Linked DNA regions of Lonchura striata. The main gene of each other region encodes a partner of the protein of the gene in region 3 in a complex. Links are inferred from orthologs where the notes say so. Each region holds a gene or a part of one and is shown on either strand. Other genes may lie near its edges.

Region 1 (7,628 bases), on a different chromosome or scaffold from region 3:
GGGATCATGACAGAAAAGCATGTGATTTCAGCAAGTATATTTTCAAAGCAAGTTTAGGAAAAACACATGACTACACATTTGCAAAAGTGTGCCTGAACTCACAGCCTTTCCCACTACCTTAAAAATCAGTTTCTGAACATCAAGTTTCCAACTACAAACTGATTTGGCATGTTGAAAGTTTACAAATCTAGTGATGCAATAAGCCATTATTGCTTCAGGTTTTCTAATTCAGAGACTTCTTTATCATCTGGTAGAGGGTGAAAAAAAAAAACAGTATGCCTTGCTATGAAATAACTCATCATACTTCTGATGTGAACCTTTATAGTCATTATTATCTAATCACATATCAGCACCTCAACAGCTACAATCCACCATCCTTTCACAAGCACTTTAAGCAAGGAAACAGATCTTAGGTGCTGTGATTTGGGGTCCAATTAAATCTCAAAACCAAGAAATATCAATATGAACTTCATCAGAAACAGATAAGCAAGAATAAAAGCCATGTGGCTGAAGCTGCCTGTAGTAGCGTGTTTTGAAAGATTTAAATAGGTCCCCATGAAAACAGGGATTCAGTGACTCAGGAACTCTGATTTACCCATGTCCTCCCAGTTATCACCACAACCATAAGAAAGTAGCCTGTGACATTTCTATTCATTACATACCTCCCAACAGTTGTATTTAAGAGCTCTGACAGGTATACTGACAGGAAGGACAGAGGCTACACCCTCCTGCTCAGCAAGGTCAGGAGAAAGCTGCAGCTCAGCTTTGCTACAAGGAACACAGAGCAAGAAGCTGCTTTATGTCCACACTCCCCCCTGGAAGAACATAGGACTTTGTCACAACCTTGCTCTACATTAGTGCCTCTATCATCCCTCAGTAAAACCACTGCAGTAACCTTCATTCAGAAGGTTTCTACTGTTTGGGTTGGGTAATTTATATGAACATTAAGAATAACCAAAATTATAACAAGTATTGATGACTAATAATGAAAGATATGAACCTTTTCAGAAATACTACAGGAATTCTGCCTTGCAATTTTACCCATTTCCTAACAGTTAAAGGTTTACTGGCATCAAGTGATTATGCCATAAGGTTTTCTGCAATTCATTTAAAGATAGTAGTATCAGACTGGGAAAAAGACCATGAGGTACAAGAAGACCCTAACAAAGTGTTTTCTCCAGTTTCTTTTCCTTGAAGGAAAGGAATCAAGAGAGGCAAAAGAAGATGATACAAAATGAATTCAAATGAACTAGTACGACTTACCTTGGAAAAACAGCAGCACACTTCTGCTCACAAATTTTAGTCACAACTTCTTGTTTGCTTGAGTGTCTTTAGTACTTTAGCAGGTATGAGTAATTAAAATAATGCAACTACTGGTACAGTTTTCTGATTAAATTATGCCAATCTACAACTGCATTGTCACCAAATGGGATGAACCAACACTAAATTCAGTTGTCTCAGAATGTATATACACTAGCAAGCATGTCCAGCTCAGGACATAGTTTTGTGAAAGACCTAAGCCAATGTAAAAGTTGCCTGCAGCCCTGAGGGAGGTCTTGCTCTCCACTGCCTTCCCCTAGCTTTGCTTCTGGCAGTGAAGTTTCTTCTCTCTACTCCCCATAAGCTTTAGGTTTCACACCCACTGAGATGCTGACAGAACTCACTAACCTGGATGGCAGAGAACCATCCAGTCTCTTCCGCCAGGGCACCCAGACACTAAAGGATCCAACAACACACGTCACAGTCACCAAAAAACCCGTGGGAGAAGCAGCCAGTGACAAACTAGCAGCAGAGGCAGAAGCAAAGGAGGGAAGAACAGGAACTCCAACTTCTGCCAAGGGTAAGCCATTCAACCAACCTTCCTTCTCCAACTTCCTCTACATCCCAGATACCACAGGATTGCTAAAGCTGATACAAAAGAGGAGGCGTGAACATACAGCCAGAGAGTAGAGAAAGAGCAGTACTATTTTCCTCAACATCCAGAGCTCACCACAGAGCCACAGGCACTTGAGATATGAGCTTGGCATGGGACAGGAGTGGCACAGCAGTGCCACATCACATCACATCACGGAGATGTTTGCATCTCCATCGTCTAGCAGGGTAATGGCAGGCACAGAAACTGGGTGAATGTAGGCACAGACCAGCCACACATCCCACAGGGAGGCACAATTACGTTGATTAGATACAACGGTGTAAAATACATATATAGAATGGGTAAAAACGTAAGGAAAGACAGGGGAATGTTGCCTGACATAAGCAGAAATAACCCTACAGCAATGATAGACAACCGGTCACTCGACTGGGGAAAAACAAAGGAGTGCGTGCCTTGCTCTGACAACAGGAAGTAAGACGATACTGAGCTTGTTTGCTACTGGCACCCCAACAGTGGCCACACCGAATACGGACACACAACAGAACGTAGGCAGGAGACACTGGGAAGTGAAATGTGAGCACAACTCTGAAGAACGGAAGACGGACCACCGAAGAGTTCACCCTCCGAGCCTGAGTCTCAGCTGACATTGCCTCGGCTGGCAAGCACTGCCCGCACCAGCCGCCCGCCACCACTCACCCCATCTCCTCCAAGGCGTGACCCCGCGGCGCTCACTGCCCAGCGCTGCCCAGCGCTGCCCCCGCCCGGAGCCCGCACCCGCCCGCCCGGCCCCAGCACCGCACACGCTGCCTCCCTTCCCCCCAGAGCCCCCAGGCCCGGCAGGACCCACACAGCCCCTGCCCGCCCCTCCGCTCAAGGCCGGCTGCCCACAGCTCGCCAGCACCTGTCAGCCCCAGCGCCCCACAGCCCGGCCCGCCCCGCACACAGCCGGCCCCGCTTCCTGTCCCCCGGCACGACCTCGGCCCGGCCCCTTCTCGGCGGCACCTGAAGCGCGGCGAGTCCTTCAGGCACTCCTCGAAGTCCACGGTCACCTTCATGGTGGCGGGGCGCGCCGCTGCCTCCGCTGCTGCGGCTGCTGGCGGTGGTGGCGAGGCGAGACCGGGCCAGGGCCGGCGGACGGGGCGGGGCGGGGGCGGTGCTCGGGGCAGGGGCGGTGCTCGGGGCAGGGGCGGTGCTCGGGGCAGGGGCGGTGCTGGGGGCAGGGGCGGTGCTCGGGGCGGGGGCGGTGGCCGCAGCGCCCGGGGCCCGCCCCGCCCGGGCGCGACTGACGGCCCGGGCAGCCAGCAGGGACCTCCTGCGAGAGCGGGGGGCGCGCCGGCCAATCACAACGCCAGAGGGGCGGGCTCAGTAGGCAGAGCGCCCAATGAGCGTGGCCGCTCGGAAGATGCAGCCAACCGCCGGCAGCGCAGCGATTGCTCCCGCCCCGGCGTGCTCAGAGCGACAGCTCGGGCCGCCAATGGGCAGGCGGCCGCGCCAAGCGGCAGCTCCATGGCCGTGGATGCCCCGCCACAGCCCGGCCCGGCGTTCGCCGCCTGACGCTGCCTGGGGGGGGCCGGGCCTGCTTGTTTTTTTTTAATTACAGCTCTTCATTAAACGGGGGAATCGCTCCCTCGGGGGTGAGACGCGCGGGAAGGCCCGGGCGGGCCCCGGAGCTGCTGCACCGGGTCGAGAGCGGCCTCGGTCAGCCGGGCTCCGCGCAGCGCCGGCGCGGGGCAGGGCCGGCGGGGCGGTACGGCCCTGCTGGGGGGCCAGCGGCGGGAGCAACGCTCCTGCTCAGTTCGCTCTCCGGCGTGATTCACTTCTACACAGAGGAAATAACTGGGGGGGAGACTCAAAGGAGTCTCTGAAGGAGAAACGCAAACCGCAGGTTTTCCTGTCAAGGAATATCAAGCGTGCATGCTTGGGTTTCTTATGGAACCTTTGTCCGAGAATACTCCGAGCTAGAGCGGATCGTATTTTGAAGTGGAGTGATACAGAGTGAACAGGACCACGTTGCAGTCTCCAGGTTGCAGTGAAGGACAGCAGAACGTTGTAGATTTCTGATCGTTTAAGAGAAGAGAGAAAAAGATCTCTTAACCAGTTAGGTGTGCTTAATGTTCCCAGGTGTAAAACAGACAGACAGGAGCACCAGCCATCCCCACTCCTCTTCAAAAAGGAGCAACAGAGTAGCAAAAGTTGCTATCCAAGTTAACTTGTCAAAGATGAAGCAGTCACAGGGATGGTGCTGAGAAGCTGACCGAAGTAGATGATGTTCACTCTTGCCTCCTCCCAGAGTCTGACGAGCTGCCATACCTGCTTCCAGCGAGGCCATACCTGCTTCCAGCGAGCCCACAAACCCCCTACAGCTTTCATACCCTCCCTCATGCCAGCATCTCCACTAAGTTTCACCTCTTGTTTTAGCTCTTTTGTTTTTTCATATTCTTCCCATTCTCTCTCCCCCGCTTCCTTTCAATGCTACAATGAGAAACAGTCAACGTGGAAGGAGGGGTTCCAAGAGGCTGGATGCCTGCTGTACCTTTAGTGAGGGACACTTAGTTCAGTCAGTTGTAATTTAGAATGTCAGGGTTTTTTTTACAAGACTCATGAAATGTCAGAACCAAACTACAAGTTACATGGATGTAACTGTATATTTTTGTGAGCTGTCCCTCACCAAAACTAGCCAAACTACCACTATTTTGATTAGGCATCCAAGTCACACCTACTCAGGAAAAGCAGCATGTTAATATTTGTGTAATTGAAGCTGCATTTATGTTGTGAAATCCACTTTTCAACTGAAGAATGCAATTGAAAAGAGCCCAGCTCTGTTTTGAGGAAGAGTTTTACTTCCTAAGAAGTAGCTGCTGTTAGTCATTTTCCATTACTCCATGCTAGTGAGTGATGACTCAGTGTTGACCGTGAAGAGACAGATCAGTTGTGGTTAAATCCTACAACACACAAAAACACCTTGAAAAATGCAGCCTTTTCTGAGGTACTGCTGTCTTAAGTTCCTGACTTAGGTTACCAGATCTACCCTCAGGCCTAGGCAAGCCAGCAAATCTGTGTGAACAAACAAATTTACATCAAAGTTACTATAAATGAGAGCCATAAGGAAATTACAATATTGGTTTAAGAATTTATCTATGAACATACCTGCAAATGTTAGCTGCCAGTTTCTTCTGAAGAGCTCCAAGAAGCCAAACATTAGATTAGTATTAGTGTCATAAGGTAGTAATGAAAACAATTGTTTTATTTATGTTGTGACACTTAACACCAGTTTCAAACAATAATTACATTTGTGAGGTGGCATCATAGTACCACAAAAAAGCATGTTACAGAAACAAAGAGTTCTGGTAAGATATACAAATTTCACATGAGAGAGGTTAGCTGTGGAAAAAGTATCTGCAGTTTCCATGAATTATACAAGTTGGTGGGAAAGAAGCTATAGACAGAAAAAAAAAAATCTATACACATGAGTTAAGGCTCTTATTTGTAAGTGATCTTCCTACTGGAAGCATATTGAAAATGCCTTCTCTAAACAGGATGCAGCTTGAGGACTTAAACCTTTGCAAGAAAATTCACAATTATGGTACTGTGGAGCTCACTGTCCACATAAGTAAGTACTGTGTTTGTTTCCTCTTTACACCACTCTGTATTGTACACGAGTATTTACCATATGCAAGCTAGCTAAGTCCTCATCAAATGTAAAAAGAGAAAGCACATTTCTTCTCTTGTCCCCATTCAACAGGGAACTCCTGATATTTCTCAAGCAGAGGGAAATCAGATATCCCTTTGTAAAAAAAGCTGTATGGAACTTCTGGAGCTACTGCAAAGTAAAACTTGCATGATTTAGTTTTTAAAATGCATCAAGGTGTAAGCAAAGTAAACCAGCCTTTCACTTAGAAGCAGTGGTAGGGACATTGGCTTGCACTTCTGCTGAGGAAGACAAAGAAGCACTGTGAACAGAATTTCTGCGAGCACTGAGGAAAATGAAGAGAACAAAGCCTTTAAAAAAACCCCAAACTAAATCAAGTTTCAAAATAGCATCAAACTCGGAATTTAGGTGCTTGGAGGCACAGAAAAAGGAGATCACCCAAGCAGCTCAAAATCACCTGAGTGATGAAGGAACCTAGTATACATTATGTGGTTAATTTAAAACCGTCTTCATGCATTTGTGTACCTCCCTCAAAGCTGCATACTCATTTCATCTAGATTTGTGGAAGCCATTACAGGAAAGGTCTTTATTGGAAGTTAGAGAAGTTTGTTTGTTAAAGAAAATGCTTTCTAGACCTTGTAAGATACAAAGGAGCCCTGCTGAGCACCAAATGGCCTTGGACACAAGAAAGTGGGGGGGTTAAGGAGGGCAGGACATTAGCTCGGGTAAGAGCTGCTGCTGCTGGATTCTACCTTAATTTCAGAATTTCAGTGCCCAGCTGGGGCAGGCCAGGCCAGCAGCTGCTCAGTCTGAAATACAGCTCAGTGCACACAGGCCAACACTCTGAACACTGCAAGCTGGTTTATAAAAGGTACAAACAAAGTTTTGAAATCCTATTCTTAGGAGCCAAATTGAAAGCTGCAGTATGTGACTTGATGAGTCAAAGTATCTAAATGCTTACCCTTTGCCACTGTTTACTCCATGGAAGTGACCACATTTGATACAAGAAGTAATAGCACTCAGCATGTTGAAAAAGTAGCATCACCACACTGGCCAGAATCAAGAGTTCAGCTCTTTTTTGTGAAAAGACCCTATTAATCTCAATTCAGGACCTTAGAAGATTAACTAACCCAAAACTGACCACCCTACTAAGGAGAGGAGATAGTTGGGAAAGGCACCCTACAAAACACAGCATAATTCACAGGTATCTTTGGCAATGCGTCCAGTCTAATTAATCATTCCTGTAAAAATCTTTCAAATGACAGCATCCTATTGCCTTATTCACTCTCAATTTCTCTGGGACTCCAGGAAAGCTCACACTTGAGAATGTATGTAACTGTAAAATAACTTTCATTCCTTTATTCAAACTTCACATATACAGTGGAGAAAAAGACATTTTAAAATTGATCCATATAATTATATGGATTTTTGCAACATATCAAATTCAGATCAAAATTAAGATATACACTGTATTTCATAATCAAGCTGAAGCTTAAGTGTGTACTTCGTTTGTATAATAAAACCCAGGAACTACTCTGAATACTGGAACATTCACCAGTCAAATTCCACCCAGTGGGAAGTTTTTACAGCAATTTGGAGGTGCAGAATCCCTCTTTACAGCTATACAACCACACTGTAAACAAGTATTTGAATTAGGCAGTTTCCCTTCTCGCTTCAAAAAAGCCTTCATTTTACAAAAGCAGTTGCTGTAAGTTGCAATGACACAGGAAGATTTAGACCAATGGTTTTCAGTGTGGACGTTGCCAACCCCAAAAGAGTAGATCAACAGCAGTTATCTTTAATAAAGAACAGCCAGAGCCTAGGCTCAGCACATCTTCAGTCCTGATTTATACACTCATGGCTGGGTGTTTTTCCTCAGGTGCTAACAGCACAAACACTGTTCATGCAACTGGAAAGAACCAAACATTTGAAACAAGAGCCAGAAGAGTAACAGTGGTTGTGATTTAAGAGAAAAGCTGTAAGGAACTTGCACGGCCTCACAATAAGCCAGAGAGAGCTCCACAAAACAACCAGTCCTGATGGAAGAGGTTATGACAGTTAAATGCAAAGTTCAAGTTAGCTGCTTCCAGTGTAAAAACACTCCCT
Region 2 (7,116 bases), on a different chromosome or scaffold from region 3:
CAATTCAAAGTATAAAATAACACTAGATTGGGATGACAATTATTTTTTTCCAGCTCTCATTTCTCTACATAAATATCATAGGCAAAGTGCATTACCTTCGTTTTCTGAAGCTTGGCATTTTACTTTCAGTACCAAATCAAAGGTACGTTCTGGATTTTCCCTGGAAGAAACAAACACAATCGATTATCACATACATATTTCAGATCTTATTTCTACTGTTATATCCTTTCCATTATTTTTGCAGAATAATAAATAGAATTAAAATATCATTAAAACAAAATTAGTACTCAGATTAGTTCTAAGGAAGAACCAAAACATCACATTTCCCTATATGGCCTTAAGAAAGGAATAAGAAAGATAAACAAGCTAAACTTTGTGATTTATTTACATTATATTGTCACTGCCATATATATATATATATATATATATATAAAATAGCTTTTAAGTCACTCCATAACTCATCTAACAGTTGAGAAAAAAGCTATTAAGCTCCTTATCAATCAATCAATCTGCAATATTAATGAAGTCACAGGCAGCCTTTTCTACAGCTATGTCTTATTTCTACTACGTGGGAATAGCCCATCATTAGACTTCCATTTGGATTCCCTGTGTTTAGCCGCTATCCTTTAAAAGCGCCTGATTACCACCCCAAGGCCGAGAATCGTTTGGCTTCCTCTTTCACCAGGTATCGATCGATGGCCAGCTGGGACTCTAAAGGCTGAACCTCAGGCGTGATTCAGCGCGAGAGCCAACACGCGTGCCCTAACTGGGGATGGACACAAGCCCCAGCTAGCCAGGAACTCGTTTTATCGAGTGCCTCCCTATCTGCAGTAGCCATCAAGGGCAGCTGCGTGTGACGGCCGGCGCCTCTTCCACCTGATGATAATAAAAAACTGCATGTGCCAACAGCAATTAACACTCAGCCTAATCCCAAACTACATACTCATTGAAACAGGTCTAAATGCCATTACCATGCCATCCACCCCTCTCTGCCTACCAAGCACACTGCTATTTATATTAAAAACAAGCGGTATAACCGCACCCATATCAATTATCTATTTAACCACATAAAAGGCTCACACTAGAACTCCTATCTTGTGTAACACTCCCACTGAAATCAGCTGGAGATTTAGGCAGAGGGAAAAAAAAAAAAAAAACACCATTATTTGGTTCCAGGTTTCTAGGATGCTTCACATAAAGCAAATTAAAACATTGTTGTTTCTTTAAATAAAGTATTGAATGAAATCCAAAGGCTGAGCCAGGGAAAAACTCAGCTGTCACAAATTAATTGATTCAGTTAATGCTTTCACTGACCTCAGCACCATCATCCATTGAGACACACAGTTATAGTCCAATTTGGATTATGAAGACATAAACTGCCCATGTCACACTTTTTCCTTGCATTTTAAAGCATTTTTTAGGGGGAAATCCTGTATCTACTGATCCTGTGTATAGGAGATTAAATTCTGGTTTGAGTTACAACAGCATAAATCCAGGACATTGGAGATTTACTCTGGTGTTAAACTGTCCATTTTTCCTCTGGCTGGTGAGCAGGTTCAGAATGAAACTGATAAGGCTGTGCTTGGTTGAGTAACCTAGAAAACTGAACCACAAAATTACTTCATTTAAAAGAATTTACATCCCCCCATGACATTGCTCTAGCTTAGGCCTTGGGTTCATCCTCTCAGGTTGAGGTTTTTTAATGTGAATCAGTTTGTGTTACAATCACCAAATGAGTGTTTCTAACTCAACTCCTAGATGAGTTACACTCAAAAAGCGTCTTTGAAGTAATACTGCCTTCTGTCTTTCACTGTAGTACGCTAAAACTGCTTTTGCAGGAAAATGCTTCTAAGTTTACTCTTCACATCCCACTACGCTTAGAAGTGTCAAAAATGTGTCAAACTAATGTGAGAATTGTGAGCCTGTCTCTGGTCTCTCGTTTCCCTGCCAGCTCCGCGGTGCCAGCCTGCTCAGCGCGTATAGACACGAAGCTGTTTGTCAATTGCCGAAAGCCGTGTGTAACATCTTGTCGCTTTCAATGACACCAGAGCAGGCGGCCGCTGCCGGAGAGCAGCCTGGACAGCAGCGCTCCCAAACACCCAAGGAACCCTCCTGCACCTGCCATGCCGTGATGGCAGAAGGGTGGTCACAAGCTGTAACACATGGAGTTTCACCTGAACGTGAGGAAGTACACTGAGGGCGGCAGAGCAGTGAACAGGCCCAAGGACGGTCGTGGAGTCTTCCCCTGAAGACGTTCCAAACCCACCTGAAGTGCTCCTGTGTCACCTGCTCTACATGACCCTGGCTTGGCACGGCGAGGGGACGGGATGATCTGCAGAGCTCCCTCCCAGCCCTGACAATTCTGCCACCTTCTAGAGGGATGCCTGGAACAGCCTCGGCCCGCGGCGGGCAGGGGCACTGCGGGCAGCTCTGCCGGGCCGGCGGGCTCGGCACCGCGCTGCCGGCCCCGCACAGGCCCCGTTCCGCGGGCACAGCCCGACCGGCGCCGGGGCCTCTGCCCGGCCGGGCCGGCGGCTGCCGAGCGATGCCGGGGCGGCCGCGGGGCCGGGAGGCGGCGCGGGGCGGGAGAGCGGCCGGCGGGGCCGCGGCCGCCCCCTTCTCCTCCCCGCCGCCGCGGGCCGGGTCGGGGGCGCCGCCGCTCCCCCCGCGCCGCGGGTCCCGCCTCGCCCCGGCCCCGGCCCCGCCGCCTCCCGCCCGCCCTTCCCGCTGTCACTCAGCGGCCGCGGCGGGCGCGCCCGGCCCCTCGCACGCTCCCGCCGGGTGGGCTCCCCCTCCTCCCGTCCCCGCCCGCCGCACGCCGGGCCCGGCGGACCGGGGCTGCCTCGGGGCCTGCTCGCCGCCTGCCCGCCGCGGGGGCTCGGCTCGGCCCGGCCCGCCGCGCCCCGCAGCCCCGCGCACACAGCACTCACTTGAACCTGCTGTCCATGGTCACATCGCGGGCCCCGGCGGCGGCCCCGGCGCCCCCAGGGACAAGCGCCCCGCCCGGCGGGGGCGAAGGGGCAGCGCCGGCCGCGGAGCGCTGGGCGGCGGGGGCGGCTCAGCGCCGCGGCGGGCGGCGGCCCATGGCTGCTCCGCTCCGCTCCCCCGGCTCGGGCCGCGACTGCGGCGGAGCGGCGGCACCGCCTCCTCCCCCGTCTCTCAGTTCCTGTTGCAGCCGCTCCGGCACCTTCTGGGAAGCAGGAAGCTCCGCGGCGGCCCGGGGAGCCGGCGGGGCTGGTGTCACCTGAGGCCGGCGGGGGCGGCGGGCGGCCCGTGCCCTCCGCGGCAGGTGCGGCCGAGGCCCGGCAGGTGGGCCGGGGCAGCGCCCGGGGAGCGGCGTGAGGGACCCCCTCAGCGGCACCTTCACCCTGCTGAAGCCCTCAGGGGATGGCTCCGGCTCCTGTGTGCTCTGACACACCGCAGCAGCCCTTTCACGTTCTTTATGCACAGCAGGAAAGGGGAGCTTTTCGTACTAAAGGTCATAAATGTTAATTTAACCTGCTGTAATCTGCTTAGCGTTTTGTTTTATCGAGTGCTGGACAAATACTATCCCAAACTGCTGAAGAGCTGGTGCAGCAGGGACGGCTGGAGCAAACCCACCGTCCCGTAAACACACATAAAAAGCTTTCAATCTTCGAGTGCTTCCCTCGAGTTTGGAAAGGAAATAAAAATAACACCGTCCTTGAGAGGCTTCCAAGTCTCATTCATCTGAGAGCTACTGAGCAGCCAAATTCCCACCTACACCAAGTTTCCCTCACCAACATAGTAACACTGCAATGAAAAAGTGCATAAAATAGATTCTGTGGTACTGGGCCAAAGAAAAAACGTCATTCTTTCACTCTTCCTCTAGAAGCTAATCATCGTATCAACAGTTGAAAAGATGAAAAAAATTCAAGCCAATTATATATTAAACACATAAAACAGCATTAGTGCATTACTGGGGCTGAAAAATCAAATATTCAAAAGTCAGGAAATTACAAATATTAACTTCTCCAAACCAATATTGTTTTGGCTTCATTGCACATCCTACACACCTCACAGGACATAGATTAAATAATAATAAACTGTATAGATGTGCAACAAAAAGAACTGAATGTTGTAGCAGTAACCTTAGCTTGGGGATTTTCTTGGGTTTCAAGTACTTGCTTTCCCAGGCCTCATTTTGTGGTAATTTTTGGCTACGTTTTAGCAGCCAGTATTTGCAACTCCCACTGAAGTAAATGAAAATTGCTTGGGGCTTTGTATCCTTAACATATAACAACGTAGCTTCATGTAGCTCAGGGGTTTTTTAGGGAAAATAAAAGTTAAATGTGTATTTTTGTGTACCATGAGAGGCCCTCACAGCAGGCAGCATTCATTCACCCACTGTTAAATTGAACTTCTCTGGTGGGATCAGTTTGGACTAAAGAGCCAGGAGAGAAGGGAGCAATGCCCGTGTCTGCTCTAGCAAGGGGATGGGGAGAGCAAGGTATCCAGCACCCAGGGATGTTACAGAACCAAAAGGAGAGGAAGCACATGGGGAAGGATATGGGGCACAACCACAGTCATGTATGTGCCTCTGTCCTTCTGCCTTCTTTCCTTCTGCCCTCCATCTCTCCCCCCAGACCTACTGCAAAGCACAAAGATTTTGAAAGTCTCTTCTGCAAAAAAAAAAAATAGCCAATATTTTAACAAGATTGAATTTGGAGCAGCTGATTATCCAAATATTGAGACATTTTACTTGTGGAAAATTTCCATTTGAGGTGTACAAGAAGAAAAACCAAAAAAACCCCAATCCTCCCCCCGCCCCCCCAGGAAAAACCCTGGTATTGCAGTAAATCTGTATTTTGAATTACAGTAAATATTTTATAAGTCTAGTGTGTGTTTATTTCTCTCTTCTCTTAAGCTGCTGATGCTTGCCACTTTTGCAGACAGAGGAGTAATCTGGTGGCCTGTCAAGCTGACCTACCATGCAATTCCAGCCACTCCTGGACTAGGGTCTCTTTTGGCAGATAGGACCATTGGGTCCCTTAGATTTCATTTTATCATAATTGGAGAAAAAATAGGTAGGGTTTCTTTCCCAAAGTAAATACATGCCTTGTCACTGGAGTAAATTGACTGCATGCAGTGACTAAACCTTGCCTGCCTGGAAGAGCAGGAAGAGTAGAGAAAGTTCAAGTTTAAAATAGAAGGCATATGAGAGAACACCCTGTTGAGATGAGGCTCACATCTCTCAGAGCTATTATTTCAGACTCTGTGAAAGCTTAAGCAGACATCTCTGCCCAGGTTACACTTAGTTCATGTTTTCAAGACTGTTTTGCAACCACGGCAGCTTCTAATGAAAGATGATATTTTGGGAAAGGTATTGGTGTTCAAAACTACCTCTTGCCACTGCCTTGGTTTCAGTTTTTCCTTGGAAGAGAATCAAGGAAGAAGGAAAATCTGAAAGCAAAACCTCTAGATATGCAGAAAATTGATTAATATAGTATATTCTGAAGCTGTGAGTGTAGTTTACTTTTCTTTACTCTGGTTTTCATTCCAAATTAGAGCCATGAAGCAACTGATACTTGGACTTTTCAAAATCAGCTGTTCTACATGTAATCCAAAAAACACAAAGCCATTTTCTTTATGTTTTGCATAACATGAAAATGGCTGACCTCAACCTAAATTATATCTAAAAGATTAGCATAGGAACTGATATAGATGGATTTGCTGGAGGTGGGGTAGATGAACATTTGTTTTGCAGATAGGAGCAACAGGTAACTCTGTACAGATCCAAATCTCCCACCCCAAATAACTGCAGCAAGTCTTTGAGATGTAGAAAACACTCATCATCACCATAAACTGGAGCAGATATAGTGTGAATTAAGGAATCTTAAGTATCACAGAATTCCTCACTTGCCAGGTACAATTCATTCAATAGTAAAGCATGCTGCTAATAAAGTGATCTTCCTCCTAAGTGCTCCTGAAACTCATAAAGGGATTTCCTTCAGAACATTGTTAGCAGAGCTTGCTGAAAGACATGTTCTCCCTTGGGAGCACCAATGAGTTTGTCAAAAATGGCAAAATCAAAACCTATTAAGTTTCCCACTCTATGGCCATAATAAATATTTTTTAGAATACCTTGATAGAATCTGTAGTTTATACCTTGTACCAAGAATTCTCCACTCACCCCTGAGTGTACTTGGGTCTGTTTTAGTCCTTGTTCCTTCAAAGAAGTTACAGTAGGTTTATGTTATCTCAGATGCTATCAGTATATCTCCTAACAACATCATCACCTTGTCACACCTCACAGACTTGAAAAGCATCACTTACAATGAGTTTACTCTCAGCCCCATTTTAATGGGGTTGGAGGTTTTGGGGTTTTATCACTTTGTTTGAATCTTACATATACCCATTCCCAGTTCTAAATGAGTGACTAGATCATCTCACCTATGCAAAGTTTTCCAAACTACCAAATTCATAGACATCAATTTCCCCATTAAACTCCTTAGCCATAATACTGTCATGAGACAATACTTTAAAAAAATACTTTTAAGGAAACACCATATACCTACATTATGTGATTTCATCATTCAGTTTCTTTAAAGATACTTTATATTATATCATTTATATATTTATACTAAATAAATAAACTTTAGTTTATTAAGTAAATAGATATAGAATATACATGTCTACAAGTATTTCACATTTGTATTGACTCCTTGCATGATCATACAAACATAATTTTTAACCTTTCAATGTTATTTATCCAAATATGCACTGTAAAGGGCTCTAAGTTTTCCTGCTTAAGAGCAGATGATGATTTAAGGTGGACATGACCAAAAGTGACACCTTGCCATGGCTGGGTAAGGATTTTCATGTGATGCTTGTGCTAGGTTGTCGTTAAGGTTCAGGGATGCTGCATTCCAGCAGCTGTCACTGTCCTTGCAGCCAGGCTATGTGCAAGGGCTAACCTGCCCAAACTCACCCAGGTAAACACACTCATTAATTAATCAGTGGACTCCTGGGCAGAGACCATTGCAGCATGGAAATGAGGATTCCCTGGCTTTCTAATCAGTGTGTCCTCCCAACAAGACTGAGATAGCACATCTTCATAATCAGGTCAGCTTTAATTTAAGTTTAACAAAGGAGATG
Region 3 (7,738 bases):
TAACACACTGTTGCAGGGAAGCATTTTTCACAGGGCTTCAGACAAGAACTGTAAGAAACTCATTCCTGTACACCCACCCAAGGGAATCTGGGTATCCAAATGCCTCCACGTTGTTATCTCTGCATAACATCTCTGCTGTCAATGACCCTTCCTCATCAAAATAAATCTGCTATGGCATGAATAGGAAATTCACTTCACTGAAATAATTATCTATTATATCTTTTCAGGGAGAAATTTTCCAAGGTAATTATTTTGATGATGTATAAATCACAAATTCTTCTTAATAGAAGACCTATGTAAAGGCCCTGCAGAACTCCAGTAGTTCTTAGCTGCTGGCATGTGACAACAGCTACCAACAAAAAATAAAAACCAGCCTAAAAATCCGCATGATTACAGTAAGCCAGGTCTCATTTGCAAAGAGTTCAAATCACCAGCCATCTGGAGAAGCCATGTTCATTCCTCACTACTACCAAACTAAGGAGGAAAAGAGGAAAGGAACTAAAAAATACAAAGTTTCAGCATGCATATAATTAATACCTCTGAGCTCAAAAAAGGTAGCAGAGCAGTTCCTGTACTTCAGAGGACTGGTCATTTAGCCAGAATTAAAGCTCTGCAAATACCGGTCAACTAAGAAAAAATAAGAAACTAAGAGAAAACAAGAATGTTTCAGCATCAAGTGCTGTGCTTCTTGACCAAGCAGCCTTGGCCTTCAGCTCAGTGAAAGGCAAGAAGGTGCCAGAACCCACAGACTTGTCAGACCACAGCACCAGGTCCGAGCTCAGCCAGCCCTGGGCGATGCTGCAGAGCTGCACATGACACTGCTCTGTCACACTGCCCTCCACTGCACAAGCTGCACTGCTCCCAGCAGGCTGGCAGCTCCCAGAGAGAAGAAAGCTCCTGAACTCAGGAAGTTCTGCATGCTCCCAGTGACAACGATCTCACTAAGCAAACACTGCCTCTGACCCACACTGTTCACGCATAGAGAAACCACACTCTTGGTGACCCCACACTTCCCACACAGAGCTGTTTGAAGATCTGAAGAGAAGTCTTGCAGGGCCCTCAGCTTCTTGAAGATAGCAAGATTAAACAAAACAAAAAAAAAAGCCTATTGACTTTGCAAAATTAAAATTAAAAGTATATTTCAGTGTCAGACAAGATTCTAAGACCCATATCTTACTGAACAGTACAGTGAACTAAAGAAGCAAAAGCAAAGCACAGATCATCTGTGTTATTTTTAAATATCTGGCACAGCTGAAATCACCAGCAGCTTTTCAAGATGACCTGTTCTAAAAACACACAAACCTACTACCCCTCTGACATATTTGCATACAGGGGAAAGCAGATGAGACATAATTATCCTATCTAGTAACAGTCCACTTCCTATTGCAGGGAATAAATGTCAATAAACAAGGCAAGCAAACTGTTTCATGCAAGCAGAGACAAAGCTTTCCTGTTGGGGTTAGCAAAAACAAAAACAAAGAAAAATCAATAGTCAAACTACATTGTGAGATTTAATTACAGGAGAAAACCACAGGCCGCCTGACAATTCTCACAACACTCCTTTCACTGGATACACTACAGGGATTTCGCTCAAGAAGACTGAGCTGGCAAAATTTGTTTAATTGTTTAAAATGAGAAGTCTTCCTCAGAGTTTTCACCATCCTGTTTATCTTGCCTGAACAGTTTTGGAACTCATCAGCAACCAACAGAGCCACTGCTCTACTCAGAATGCAGCGCTTGGTTGCAATAATCCAAGGCTCCCAGAACTGTCTGGGGTTTAAGCTGCTCTGAAGCTGCTGTCCCGTCTCCCTTCTTAGATCCCTTCATGCAGACACAGTTTAGCGTAGAAAAAAACATTTCTGACGTGAAGCTAAAGCTTCCGAAGGTGACAACTGCCAAGATCGTGCAACATCACCCTTTCATCAAGGGCTGCGCCTCGCTGCATGCCGGGACCTGCCGCCCCACGGACCACACCTCTGTTAAAAGAAGAGGGTGGATGCACCCTTCTCCAGTTTATGGAAATTCAGCTGTAAGCTGCTGGAGTGCTACCAACACCGAGCTGCACCGACGGCAGCGATCTTCCCCGTCCCAATTCCTGTGTACCCAGACCAAAGCACCAGACACTGGCACAGTTCACACGCTCAGCCCTCCAGAAGTTTCTGAGGTTGCTGAAGTATTTAAAGGTCTATTTTCAAAAAAAAATTCAAACTACACCTTTTATCTACACCTTTGGTTTTTAAAACCTCAGACTACACCCTTTATTTTTATATATTTGCATTCTATGCAATAACGAGAAGTACACAAAGCTACCACCTCTTCCAGGATTTATTAAAAAAAATAAGGAAATCTGGAACTGAGACTTCAGGCTGAAGCATAGAAAAAGTCTTAAGGAATAATTAAGACAATAATGACTGTTAAAACGTATTAGCTGCCGCACTGGAACAACAGTCCTTAGGGCAGCCAGCCCTTCCCCTCGATCCCTAGACTGCCTGTCACAGGGGAAGGGAATTCCCTCCCCATCCCAGCAACAGATTAGTGGGTGCCGTCAAAACACGCGCTCGCCAAGGCTGATGCCGGCAGCACTGCCGGTGGTGTCCTGCCTTCTGCGTGTCTAATCTGCCTTTTCCCAAACGCAGCCAAGCTATTTACCATAATATCCTGCGGTAGCCAGTTCCGCAGGTTTATCAGATAAAACCTCCCCGAGCCCCAGCGAACGCGCCCCGCCATTCACACACACAGCGCGGGGTCCCGCCTCAGCCCCGCGCCGCGGCACCGGCAGCGCAACGCCGAGGGCGGCCCGGGCGGAGGGGCCCGCCCCTCCCGAGCCCCCCGCGCCGCCCGCCCCAGCCCCGCCGCCGCCTCCGGCCCCTCACGGCCCGAGGGGCGGCCACCCCGCCAGCGGCCTACCCACGCCCCCGGCCGTGCCGCCCGCGCTCACCGCTGTCGCCGATGATGAGCAGCTTGAAGAGGTGGTCGTAGTCCCGGGCCATGGCCGGGGCGCGGCCGCGGGCGGCGGAGCGGGCGGGGGGGGGGCGGGGGGCGGCGGCGGCTCCGGCCGGAGCCACTTCCCGGACAAACAGCCGGAACTGACAGCGGGGCCGCCGCCGCGCATGCGCCGGGCCGCCGCCACGGGCCGCCAGCTGCGCCGCCGCGCCTGCGCCGGCCCCGCCCCGCCCCGCGCCGCGGCTGCGCGGGAAAACGGCCGCGCCCTCACGCGCCCGCGCCTGCGCGCGAGGGGCGGTGGCTGAGGCGGCGGATGGCGGCAGCGTGAGGGTGAGGGACCCGCCGCCCTCCGCCCAAACCCGTCCTGCCCCCGCGCCGAGCCGCCCACAGGCCTTTCATCGGGAGCGCTTTGCCGCCCCGCTTCCCGTAGGTGCTCGTGTGAGGACGCGGCTGAAAGCGACGCTGCCCCCAGGGAAGCATCAATGGCGTGAGGGAGCCTCAGCACTCCCAGCTCTGCTCCGAAGGAGCGATTTGTGTAGGTACAGGAACAGTTCCCAGCGCAGCCCAAGCCGCAGGTGAGGAGCCCCACAGCAGTGATATGAGCTACCCAGGTGTGTGTCACAGGCCTGGCAAGTCAGGCCAGTCTGAAATGAATTCCTGGGGTTTTTAATCCAGAGATGTTCCTGTGTGTGGCTCAGGAAGGGCTTTGACCTCACGCCCATCAGCAGCTGTGCTTGCACCGTCCCCAGCTCATATATGCAGTTCAAAAGCACTCCCAGTCATCCAGCAGCCTCAGTGATTTTGTTATCAGTTGCACAGACACTGATTACACAATTACTGCAAGACTGTGGTCACTTTTTAGGAGATCGTCACTTCTAAGTGGAGACATGGCACAAGAAAAGTGCTGGCTTTTTGCTGTGATTAATTTTTCTTTAAAAAACATTCACACTCGTACTTGAACTCCTGAGATCAAGTTTGAATTATTTAATGAAACCTGTCTTACTAACATGCATTGTCATTCAGATAGGAAGAGGTATATTAGCACTAAAGAACTTGGATTGTTACAGATTATAAATGAGTCTGTATTAGGAATAAATTGTTCCCTGTGAGGTGGAGAGGCCCTGGCACAGACTGCCCAGACAAGCTGTGGCTGCCCCATCCCTGGATGTGTCCAAGGCCAGTCTGGGTGGGGACTGGGGCAACCTGGTCTAGTGGGTCATGTTCCACCTAATTATGAACCTTTCTTAATCTTAACCTTCAAAAACACATTATAGGTTTCAAAGTGCACCCTGTCAAGGTCCTCACATCCTGGAATCCATTCATGTGACCTTCAGCTGACATTCACTCTGCAATTCATGCATTTTAAACACCACACACATACACACACACACACACATATATATACACATACATACATATACACACACACATATATATGTGTGTGTGTGTGTGTGTATATATATATATATATATATATATATAAAATCACTCACCCCAGACAAGCACTGGGGCAATCCAGCACCACCAGAGTAACTGAGGACGCAGTAGCTGCAGGGAAATTCCTTGAATCCAGCACACAAACCACCAGCTCAAACCCAAAATGACAGTGACTCCTATTACCTCTATTTTTAAGCTCATGAAACCTCATCATGTGAAAAGTGTCATGATGTTACTAAATAAAATGGACAGTAAGAACTGTGACTGATCAAAAAAAAAATCAAAATATTTGAGTATTTTATGCTTTTACATTTGTCTCTCTTCCATTGTAATTTTTAGCACCTTGTAAACCTCTCTCATAAATTATTTTTTGATCTTCTTGAAATGCACACAGTTCAGCTGTCACTCAGAGACAGTTGCTTGACAGTTCAAAGATGTTATTACCATCAATTGAAGGGAAAAATTATCTTTTACTGGCAACTGGTATTTTTAAGACATTTGAAATAAGAAAATTAATTCTTTAGTCTCCAAGTTGGCACAATCAATTTATCAGATCTCGTGGCAAGCATTATGGCTATTTTATCTCTGATATATTATACTGCAATGTATAAATAGTTTAACAAAAGTAGCTATCAAAATCCAAATAGAGTGTTTCACTGTGACTGAAAAATCAGCATATTCTCCACAAGTGCAAGTGAGCTCCTACCTTTCACTCCTCCCTCCCAGGAACAACTAAGCTCAGTGCAGAAATTCAGGTGTTGTTTGGAAAGATGAATGAGGTTTTCCACTTGCTGCTACCTAAGCTGGAAATACAAATCATCAAAATAATAGAATATCTTATTGGTTGAAATGAACAAGTTAATAAAAAAGGCTTCATTTGCCTATAATTTTCTTTCCCATGTTTATCTGGAGCATCAATTGGAATCAGAATAGGTAAGCCAAGGTGCCCATGATCAAGAGCTCAAACAGCATCTTCACCAAAACTTGCCATTTTTTCATTCCTTCCTGGCTGCAGTGATGGAGTGAGTGATTCCAGTACAATCACAGCTTTTTGACACATTCTTAGTAGGTTTTGAGTGGCATCAGATTTTGTACATGTGTCAGGGCAGAGGTTTTTGCATTGCATGGTTTAACTGCTGTTCCTGGGATCCCAAAGCACAGCTAATTCATCACAGGTGAAACTCATTCCAGTGCCCCAAGCTGCCAAATCTTTAAGAGCATTTAGCTGAGTTTTCACTCTTGAGTATTACCAATTCAATGCAAAATATGTAGTTTTCAGATGATTTCAGATTTGCAAGTATTTTGAAATGCAAAAATCAGAATTAAAACCCATCTTAAATGTGATTAAATAGAACACAATTTCTGTCACACCAACTGGGAAGCGCTGCAGTTTTGTAGAAATGTGTCCAATGCATAAATACAAGATTAGACATAATTAACTAAAGAGCCATTTTTAGTTTGGCTTCATAGCTGATCACAAACTAACATGTCCACAACATGGTGGTGTTGCAACAAAGGAACACCCAGACCTTGTGCTGGGGCGGACAACTGTGTTTGTTAAGTGGGGCTTGCAAATCAACTCCCCAGGAGACCTGGGCCAGCAGTGGACACCTCAAGGCAAAAAGGAGTCAGAATGAAACAAATCAACATGAGGGGCAGCAGTGTAGGTTTAGAAAACATGGAAATCTCTAAGGAAATACATAGAAAATCTGAATTTATTTCATCCAGGGATGAGGATACTGAAGTGACAATGTGGTTGCTGCAAAAAGGAACTGTTTTCAGTGTCTGTGGGAACAGGACAAGCAGCAATGGATTCAAGTTGCAGCAAGGAAAACTTTTTCTTCAGACATGAGGTACATTCCTGACAGTCTGGTAAGTTCATATAACAAAATAGATGGCATAGAGAAGTTATGGAATCTCCATCCTATAATGCTATAAAACAGCTGTGTGGCAGTCTGCTAGGAATGGTTTAGTGGGAGCTGAGCCTATCTTAGGTAAAGGGTAAAATATCTAATTGCCCAAGTTTCCACTAACTCCTACAGCAAATCTCTTGTCAGGATGCTACACCACAGGCTGGGAACTGACACAGCACCAAGAAACTTTTGTCAGATTTTTGTACTTCTGACCAGAACAAACCACAGCATTCCCAAATACCTGCTCATGGTTGTATCTTGCTGTTTGAGGCCTGAGTATGATAAAAATGTTCTTGTGTTTACTGCTACTGCCATAACAATCAGAAAATTGCTTCTAGCAGAATGTGTGCTCCCATGGAGTTCCACTTAATGCTCTCAGATTTTATGTGTAGTGTTGTGTTCTCCCATCATCATGGTTTGAGGCATCCAGAGTTATAAAGAAGGAAGATTACATGCACACACATACACACCACCCACATGAAATAACAAATCTTAGTGCTCTGGCTTCTCGGGTGCAACCACCTTCTGTGAGTTTCATACAATAGGTAAGGCTCACGTAACTATTGCTCCACGTGAAACATAAAGCTCATTTTGCCTTCTAAAAATTTGTATTCTGCAACAAGATTTTCAGTATATCCATCAAGTGACATCAAATCTACTAGTAAATTGATTTTTTTTCAAGACAGATATATGTGGCCAGGTAAAATAAAAGACTTTCTTGGAGCAGCACAACTCATTGACCAAAAAAACTAACGCCAAGTATTTTGTGATGCCTTTGAAGACGTAAATACAGAGGACTTTTCACTAGTTGGGTAATTAAAAAGCTGTCTGTAGTCAAAAATACTTTGGAAATCAACAGGAGTAATTACTTACAAATTTCATTAAATGTCAGTTCTGCCTTGGCTTTAAACCCTGTCTTGCCTCAGTTCTGCAAAAGGTTTTCACAGATCACAGCATTGTCCACTCTATAAACTGTATGCTCTAAACCAAACAGGTTTGAAAAGTAAATCACAGTGTAAGTTTGTTGACAAATTAATTTGTATAAAGAACAGTTTACATCAGAAGGATCAAAGTCAGAGCCTTTATTAAATGTTCCTTCTCTAAACGGACTGCATTTAATTCCCCTTTCGCATCTGTGATTTCTAAGGCTATTTTAAATACTTCGTTTTACAGGGATTTTCAGTCTTCAGAACCGTCACAAGCAGCAAGTTAGCAGTACACAGAAACAATAGAACTGAACTTTCACCAAGTTCTATTCCTGCCTTCCAGGGTGCGTGGAAAAACCAACACACCTCCAGTATTGGAGTTTTTGCACAGACCCTGGAAAGGAAATAGTTGTCACCAGAGATTAAGCCTGATGTGCTCTAGCCACATGTCACAATTGGCCACAGCTGACCAGTATTGGTTAGTATGTCTGTCTCTTGTACATTATCTGTTTCAAAAAG

The links. Proteins that work in one complex are often made in the same cells at the same time.
Region 1: the proteins of RAB35 (region 3) and ACAP2 are in contact, whole or in part, in a crystal structure (PDB 6IF3), measured with the Homo sapiens proteins. The link is inferred for Lonchura striata from reciprocal best matches to the Homo sapiens genes RAB35 and ACAP2. Residues at the interface, in NP_006852.1 of Homo sapiens: Arg3, Asp4, Tyr5, Leu8, Ile41, Gly42, Val43, Asp44, Phe45, Ile47, Lys58, Gln60, Trp62, Phe70, Arg71, Thr72, Ile73, Thr76, Arg79; in NP_036419.3 of Homo sapiens: Val715, Ala718, Asn719, Ala720, Asp721, Val723, Thr724, Arg727, Leu728, Arg730, Met731, Glu734, Met735, Ser738, Glu748, Thr749, Gln751, Arg755, Asp756, Gln759, Met760.
Region 2: the proteins of RAB35 (region 3) and DENND1B are in contact, whole or in part, in a crystal structure (PDB 3TW8), measured with the Homo sapiens proteins. The link is inferred for Lonchura striata from reciprocal best matches to the Homo sapiens genes RAB35 and DENND1B. Residues at the interface, in NP_006852.1 of Homo sapiens: Lys10, Leu12, Ser17, Ser36, Tyr37, Ile38, Thr39, Thr40, Ile41, Gly42, Val43, Asp44, Phe45, Gln60, Trp62, Thr64, Ala65, Gly66, Arg69, Phe70, Arg71, Thr72, Ile73, Thr74, Ser75, Thr76, Tyr77, Arg79, Gly80, Thr81; in NP_001182144.1 of Homo sapiens: Met1, Arg4, Glu43, Ser47, Phe51, Val72, Leu73, Thr74, Asp75, Ile76, Glu77, Ser78, His211, Glu212, Arg213, Arg214, Gln242, His243, Ile244, Ile246, Leu249, His252, Leu253, Asp255, Tyr256, Cys258, Ala259, Pro260, Met261, Pro262.

What each region holds. Positions count from the first base shown.
Region 1 is NC_134612.1:15,154,363-15,161,990, reverse strand, and holds the start of ACAP2 (arf-GAP with coiled-coil, ANK repeat and PH domain-containing protein 2), read right to left. Parts: upstream 3,018-7,628; 5' UTR 2,929-3,017; coding exon 2,876-2,928; intron 1-2,875. UniProt on the Homo sapiens protein: GTPase-activating protein (GAP) for ADP ribosylation factor 6 (ARF6). Doesn't show GAP activity for RAB35.
Region 2 is NC_134611.1:26,084,283-26,091,398, reverse strand, and holds the start of DENND1B (DENN domain-containing protein 1B), read right to left. Parts: upstream 3,018-7,116; 5' UTR 2,948-3,017; coding exon 2,931-2,947; intron 161-2,930; coding exon 96-160; intron 1-95. UniProt on the Homo sapiens protein: Guanine nucleotide exchange factor (GEF) for RAB35 that acts as a regulator of T-cell receptor (TCR) internalization in TH2 cells. Acts by promoting the exchange of GDP to GTP, converting inactive GDP-bound RAB35 into its active GTP-bound form.
Region 3 is NC_134620.1:5,002,108-5,009,845, reverse strand, and holds the start of RAB35 (ras-related protein Rab-35), read right to left. Parts: upstream 3,031-7,738; 5' UTR 2,991-3,030; coding exon 2,939-2,990; intron 310-2,938; exon of another isoform or gene 1-309. UniProt on the Homo sapiens protein: The small GTPases Rab are key regulators of intracellular membrane trafficking, from the formation of transport vesicles to their fusion with membranes.